2 linked regions of the Mus musculus genome follow. The protein of the gene in region 1 interacts with the protein of each later gene in a pairwise test. Links are inferred from orthologs where the notes say so. Each region holds a gene or a part of one and is shown on either strand. Other genes may lie near its edges.

Region 1 (3,747 bases):
TAGGAGTAACAGGACATTTAGACCTTCTGTCTGATCGCTCCTACTTTCTGTTCAGATCGGAATCCAGCCTCGCAATATCAGTAGGAGTCCACTCAAGTGCTCATTAAGTGGAAAGTGGTTGATGATCTATTATAGCTCTCAGGTGCAGGCTGAGAAACATGACCAAACCAAAGTTTTGGAGCCTATCTTTAGCCCAAGGGTGAAGAAATGTAACATACAACCTCACGTGCGGCCAAAGGGATCTGCCAAACAGTAATGAAGACCTCCTGACAGATGCAGGAGCTGTGGGATGTGAGCAAGCGGGAATTCAAATCCCAATCGCAAAACCCAGCTCACTTTATAATTTTTAAGTGCTGACCTCCCTCCGTGATAAATCATGGTGGAGGCGACAGACTCCAAAGATATATAGCATTCATTACCTTTGCCCTCTGACTTAGTAGTGGAAACTCACCAGTTTCATATCGGACTTTTGGTTGTTCAGTACCAGTCTCTTCACTTCTAAAGACAGGGAAGGATCTTCCGGTTTAATCTCTATAGCCCAGAGCATCGCGGGACTTGGAGTCTTCACTCCTTAAGCATTTTCCAGAGCCTCACGGGAAATGTAGTTTTACTGCAGGTATCATGGGCACTGTGGGCGTCTTTCCTTTTCCTCCCTTTTCTCTCTAATCACCTCCTTCCGTCCGCTCAAATTCATCGCCGCCGCCAATTCATCCTTCCTTTCCATCCCAGCATGATATCATGTCCCTCATCTGGGTCTAGCATCCATGGTATTCTGGGATGTGTAGTCCGCACGATTTCAGCTCCCAGCTCCCCTCCTCCCTGTGGGAAGGCGTATGGGCGCAGTGCCTGCTGGAAGCTGTAGTTCCCTAGGGCCTCAGACCCTCAACTCTGCACTTTTCCTCTAGGGAACCGGAAACTACAACTCCCAGGGATGCCCAGCGGCAGCAGGTGGGAGCGGGGCTGTTGCTATCAATATGGCGGTTGTCAGCCAGACAAAGACAGTCAGTCTGATGTGATTGAGACAAGGGAGGTTTTCAGGGGGAGACTGGGAGATAGGGGCCTCCCCTCCCCCCTAGGCTCTTCCTGCGCGGGCCTGGAGCCCTCCTCAGCCCCTCCCGCAGGGCGCCCCGCGGTGAAGATCCCCTCCCCCTCCCGCCTTCCTCCTCCCTCCCTCAGCCTTGCACTGGGACGCTGGGGAGGGGGCTGAGCAGGGTGCAGAGAACTCTCAGCTGGATTTCCAAGGTGAGTGGGGTCGTTTGCAAGCTGGACTGCCTCAAGTCTCTTTTCCTCACTTCTCTCATTACTTTAAGGAAAAAAAAATGTCGAGATGTTTGGGGGGGAGAGAAAGTGAGTAGGCGCCACAGATGGGTCTCTGGAGTAGCCAGGTTGAGCATAGGGGAGCAAGTAGGGGTACTTCCGAGGGGGCGGCCGTGCGCGGGCTGTGGGGTGGGGCAGTTTGTGAGGGGCGGGCGTGGAGAGGCGTCGATGGCTTCCCAACTTCTCTCTGGTCTTCAGGACCGGCGGAAGGTTTGAATCCTGGAGTTGGGGGGTCTTCCTGCTTGGGAGTTTGAGAAACTGTAAGGTGGTTTCGAGGTGTGCTGGTTTGTTTGGGGAGTGTCTCGCTGTGTTTTAAACTGTGACGTGTACTTGGGTGCTGCGATCGTCTTGAAGGAATGTCTGTAGATGGTAAGTTAGATGGCTGGAGTCAGAGATAAGCGGCCTGGGCTTGGGAAGCACGCAGGAGTCCCGGGCTGGACTTTTGGTCCAAGGATCTTGTGCAGGGTTTGGGGGGGCTCAGTAACTCGTTAGTGTCTGGGCGCCCAGCTCACACTCGGTGCCCTACTCTGGGCCAGTCTCCACCCCAAACTCCCGGCAGGACTATATAGATGATGTGATGTGGAGATGCATCTTTGCCTCAAGTCGGCAGCTAAAGGTGGGAAAGGAAAAGTGTCTCTTAGTATTTTATTCCGGAACCGTGTTTGGGTTACACTATTGGGGCTACTTTGAAAGGAGTCCTCCACCCACCTTCACCCCGAAACAGTAAGTAGAGGTATCTTGTCATCTTCATGCTCAGTAGCTTGCCAGTTATTTAAAATTCGGGAACGTGGGGCTGGGAATCTCGAGTGCTAAATGCCATCCGCATCGCTGTCTTCTAATGAGACAGAACGTCTGCTCTGTATCCTGAGGTAGATAAGGCGACTTATTTTCGTAGTTGAAAAAACTGTTGGAAATTTTTTGCGGAGAAGAGGGTTGACTGTGCGCTGAAAGGCGCTGTGGTCTTTTTTTGTTTTTTGTTTTTTGTTTTTTGTTGTTTGTTTTGTTTTTTCTTCTACCCCACCCTGTTCTGTGTCACAAATGCTTGAAAACTGGTATGGAAGAGTGAGGAAGCATTGGGTGAGTGAAGCAAAGAATGCACTTAGCAGTAAAGATACACGCTTCGTAAAGTTGAATGATAAAAGTGATTGCTATTTTTATTTTTGTCTGAAGCTTAAAAAAACCCTCGTCTGTTATATAGGGTATAGTCACGTGCCCCTTTTTCTGGGGACCTGCAGATAATAGAAATCTTTGCCTTCTCTTTCCTATCTTTCCTTAGCTTCCTCTCTCCCCCACCCCCTTCCTTCCTTCCTTCCTTCCTTCCTTCCTTCCTTCCTTGGCACAGAACATTTCTCTTCCCGATGGACATAATACCTCCTGTACTTTTTTGCTTAGTTTGTGCTAATATGGGCTGTGCTTTTTGTGGTTTCACTATAAAATGCATCGTTAAGTGAAAAGGACCCGAATTTGTTGTTATTTTGCATTTATGCCACAAGTCATTATCACATCAGGTTTGCAGTGCTTTGCATTAAACTTATTAAAATTGCACGGCTAAGTTGCTGGATCTGGTTGTATTATGCTTATAAGTCAAGTTTGGGAAATTTTATTTTATTTTTCCATTTTCAATTAGGGTTGGAATGAAACATCTCTTGTTTCTCACAGTCTTGAATATTTAATGACATTACACCAGGAGAATTTAAGATCATACATTTTGTACTCCCTCAGTCCAAAATACATCTTCTTCAATCACTCTCTGTGATAATTTTGTGATATCATAGACTTTTAAATCACTAAAAGAATAATTGGCATTATTTCTATTTTGACTTGAGAATTTCATGTATTATGTGTTTGGTCAAGAATGTGTTAGTTCTTGAGTTCTTCTGTTAGCTATGGGCTTTTAGATTCCATAGCATCACACTGGGATTTATGGTAGTTTTAGTCTTTGATTTGAAATTTCTGCTGTTGATCATTCCCACAGATAAGGGGACTGTGTTTGCATGAAGTTGAGTGTTAAGTATGTGAATGGACCTAAATATAATTTTGTACACAGTGTGCTGTTCCAAGCTGAGCCTATGGTTTGTTGAAGACCAGGATTTTCAGAATTACTTGTTTGAGGCTTTATCTTAACCTGAAACATTATTTTTCAAAAACTGGAAGAAAATTCCATGTAACAACAAAATAGTTGTTTACTTGTAGTTTTCCAAAATGTATTCTAGTAGATATTGAATTTTTACATGTTTAATAATCATTTTAGATATGACAAACTAAAATGTTCCAACCTAGAAAAATGAGTGTTTTTCATCTACCCTTACCTTGAATCTTCTTCTTGTTTATTTTCATCAATGGAATTGTGAAGTTATTTATGGGAAAAACATTCGTTAAACTTTTTCTGACTAGTAGTCTGGAAATAATGGCTCCATGTACACTGAATCT
Region 2 (3,747 bases), on another chromosome or scaffold:
GGTGTGTATTCAACAGCGTTAACAGGAGAGACATCTCACCAATACAACTCCATTTAAAACCCCAAGCAACCAATCAAGTTCTCTAAGACTTTAGGGTTGGAATTGAACCTCCTGTCATCTCAGATGACAAATGTGACTCCCAGATCCCACAAAAGGCTGATGCATCCTACAACTATTTCAGCATACTCCCTCTTCAGGAAAACCTCAAGCTCAGGACCACCCAACAGTCTTCACCACACCCGAACACCAAGGCTCCATCCAGACCCAAGGACAAAGAACTGTAGCAAGTTCCCATCATCCCTCAAGGCCCACACACACCTGTCCTCATCCGAACCCTGCGGATGTATTTTTCACCCAAGAAATTTCGGATTTCAACCAAAGAGCCATTCTCCTGGATGACGACGTTGATGGGGAAGTGAGCGTACACAGACCGCATCTTGTATCGGAAGCCCTGCATCAAACAAGCAACTGTGAGCCATCCTGAACAAACTCAAAGTTTTCGGTTCAGCTGGCCTAGATTTTGAGATTCCTCTTCTTCAGTTTCCCCAGGCTGAATTTAGAGTCAGCTCTAAATGCCCTAAGGTGCTTTTGTCATGTCGTGGAAATTTAACACACGCACTCTACCCACCATATGCAAGTTGCAACATCTTCCCAAAGCTCCAGGAGGAAGCTTTCTTTTACTATCTCATCCTTTGAGGGCATAAGATCCTCATTTTTGGCATTAGGCATCTGTGGAGTTACTACAGACACCACCAGATAATAAGTGACTCCAGACTAAACAAAAGGCCCAGTCCTCCCCAGGAGCAACAGGGTAACACGATCCAATAGGTATACAAAGTACAGCTTGTGTTTATAAAACAACACCTCTTCAGCATTAACTGTTTTGGGAGAAAGGATCTAGAACAGTAACTTCAGAGATGCACAAGTCAGATCTTTTTGTTTGTTTTTTTGAGACAGAGTATAACTCTGGCTGTCTTTTCTATCCATTGAGTCCCAAACATACCAGCCAGCAATCTCCACTATATGTATCTACCAACAAACAAAACCCCTGAAACAGAAGTAAAGGAGCCTGCCCAGCAAATTCCTGGGTCTGATCTGTGCTAACCCACCCCCAATATCTGAAAGTGCCTCCTTTGTAGAAGTACAGTCCATCCTGGCCCTAGACATTTATACACACCCAAGGAACCTCTTCCAAAGGGTTAAAGGGCAGAGTGGAGGGCTGACTTACCAGCGTGACACCCTTGATCATGTTCTGAACATGACTGCAGATGGTCCTGACGGTGGCCAGTTCCTTTCTGTTACCCCACCATTTGTCAACCCGGAGCTGAAACACAACAACTTTAGAATTAAAACACAGCACTTTTAGCTGGCGAGTACTAGCACGCAAAGCCATGTACAAATGCACCGTATGTCACACGCACAGGACACCAGAGGGACGACACACACACACCCAAGTTCACTCATAAAAGAACTGAGTCCGAGTAACCCACTCGGCCACGCATGGGGTGGGGGATTAACATCGGTTACCGGGTTTTGTTACAAGCAAGCACCCGAAGCATCGGAAGACACAAGTTCTTACCCTTTTCTTCTTCTTCCCAAGAAGACTCAGCTCCACGTTGATGTGATTGAAGTCCCTCCGCAGAGTCCCCCTGGGGCCCTTCACAATGACTGTGCGCCCCTTCAGAGTGATTTCGACTAAACGAGAAAGTGAACTGGTGAGACCATAGGCCGGGGTTTAGAGCATGCAGGAAAGCCGTCAGCGGCCGGCGGGGAGCCATCTACTCACCATTCTCTGGAATGTCCACAGTCTGATTGCTGAGAATGGTCTTCATCCTGAAACACAGACACCCGGGTGAGACGGCTGGGGCGGGGGACGCTCTACACCCGAGACCCGGCAGCGTTCCGCTCCCAACGGGAATCGCCAGCTACGAAAGCCGGCAACAAGGACCCAGGTGTGTCCGGGACAAGGACTGGACCGGGGGCCCCGGAGAAGAGTAAGGAAGCCCGGCTCGGTGCGCCATGGCGGAAGGGCTACGACCGAGATGGGCCTGAAAGCCCGAACGCCACTTCCAGCTCGCGCCACCAAGTCCCAAGGACGCACGTCGTGCTGGGGGACAGTCGGGACAAAGCCTTGGGGCATCGGCTCCATGCCGCCGGGGTCCCCAAACAGAGGATGGGTTCAGATTCCCGGGGCACCCGGTCCCTAAGCTCCTCACCTCGCAGTAGATGGGGCAAAGAGAGAACGTCTTTCGTCATCACGTTCTTGTAATCCGTCAGGGCCCTGCGTGTCGCGTCACGACCCGAGCGACGGCTTTAAGGCGGAACTACTCGATTGCCGAGCTAGTCGAGTCGCGCCGGTCGGCGACGACGTATCGCGTCATGACTCAAGCGACGAGTTGTTGGACGCGTCCGGTGCCGGGGGTGCTGTTCCCTCGATCCCTTGACACTCCTGAGACCTAAAAGAGGGGGATGGCTCTACGCTGCTGGGATACAGCTCGCAGCCTGGGGTCCCGGGTGAGCGGCGGGAACGCCATTGCTTATCCTAAGTTCAAAACTAGGGAAATTGTTCCAGATATCCTTTTTTTAAAAGCCCCGACAGCTGTGGCATATCTTAATTATTGCAAACTTGTTGACAACATATTTTAGTACCTGTTTTAGGAATAGAAGACATGAAAACGTGGCATGTTAAGTCACCCACTAAGGTTTTCTAACCTATATTTAGCGGTTAACTTTGATCTGCGTCCCACTTTTTTCCCCCATTTGTCATGGCTGAGCGTGCATCAGGGTCTCTGTAATCTAGGCTGGCCTGAAACTAAATTCTTAGACCAAAGACGACTCCTCACTCTGCCTCCTCTGAGAGCTGCATTACGTGTTTGAGCCGCCGTGACTTACGGTTCTTTCACCTTGAGTCTTTTTCAGGTTCTGATCTACGTAGTTTGAGCTCTTAAATCGTTTTACATAATTTCTGAATCAATTTCTTTAGCTTTGGTATTATAATGGGTTAAAACTAAATTATTTCAGAGTCTACTGAGTGAATGTTGTACTGAACCCTTTTTGTAGATATTTGGAAGATATGCGTTCACGGTTAGAGCATTAAGTTCTTTGCCAGATAAGAAAAAGGAATTTTTGCATAATGGACCAGACCTTCAAGATTTTGTATCTGGTGATCTTGCAGACAAGAGTACATGGGATGAATATAAAGGAAACTTAAAGCGCCAGAAAGGAGAAAGGTAATTGAACATTAGATTCCACTTTGACTTTGTGCATTGTTTGGTTTTGTTTGTTTGTTTGTTTGTTTTGGTTTTGATTTTTTGAGACAGGGTTTCTCTGTGTAGCCCTGGCTGTCCTGGAACTCACTCTGTAGACCAGGCTGGCCTCGAACTCAGAAATCCACCTGCCTCTGCCTCCCAAGTGCTGGGATTAAAGATGCACTGCCTGGCATTGTGCTTTTTTTTTTTTTTTTTTTTTTTTTTTTTTCTTTTTTAATCAAGCCTTGTAGGTTTTTCTGTACCCTTTGGCCATTTCTTCATCCTTTCCAAAATGACCATTTTATGCTGCCATATCCCATTTTATATCTAGCATCTAATTGAGAAAGTATAGGTTTTTCTCTTGATAGTTATTTTATTTATTTGGGTTTTTGGAGATGGTTTCCCTATGTAGCCCTAACTGCCCTAGACTTCTCTCTGTAGACCAAGCTGGCCTCAAACTCAGAGATCCATTTTCCTCTTCCTCCTGAGTGCTGCAATT

Evidence for each region. The genes of interacting proteins can lie anywhere in the genome.
Region 2: the proteins of Hmbox1 (region 1) and Rpl9 interact in binary tests that used the Homo sapiens proteins (3 or more experiments, as listed by UniProt). The two-hybrid records come from large-scale screens. The link is inferred for Mus musculus from reciprocal best matches to the Homo sapiens genes HMBOX1 and RPL9.

Annotation. Positions count from the first base shown.
Region 1 is NC_000080.6:64,947,072-64,950,818, reverse strand, and holds the start of Hmbox1 (homeobox-containing protein 1), read left to right. Parts: upstream 1-961; 5' UTR 962-1,242; intron 1,243-3,747. Other genes in the region: Ints9 (integrator complex subunit 9), read right to left, coding at 452-460. UniProt on the Homo sapiens protein: Binds directly to 5'-TTAGGG-3' repeats in telomeric DNA. Associates with the telomerase complex at sites of active telomere processing and positively regulates telomere elongation.
Region 2 is NC_000071.6:65,389,160-65,392,906, forward strand, and holds the start of Rpl9 (60S ribosomal protein L9), read right to left. Parts: upstream 2,273-3,747; 5' UTR 2,217-2,272; intron 1,834-2,216; 5' UTR 1,833-1,833; coding exon 1,787-1,832; intron 1,696-1,786; coding exon 1,580-1,695; intron 1,325-1,579; coding exon 1,229-1,324; intron 452-1,228; coding exon 319-451; intron 1-318. Other genes in the region: Lias (lipoyl synthase, mitochondrial isoform 1 precursor), read left to right, coding at 2,470-2,514, 3,061-3,230.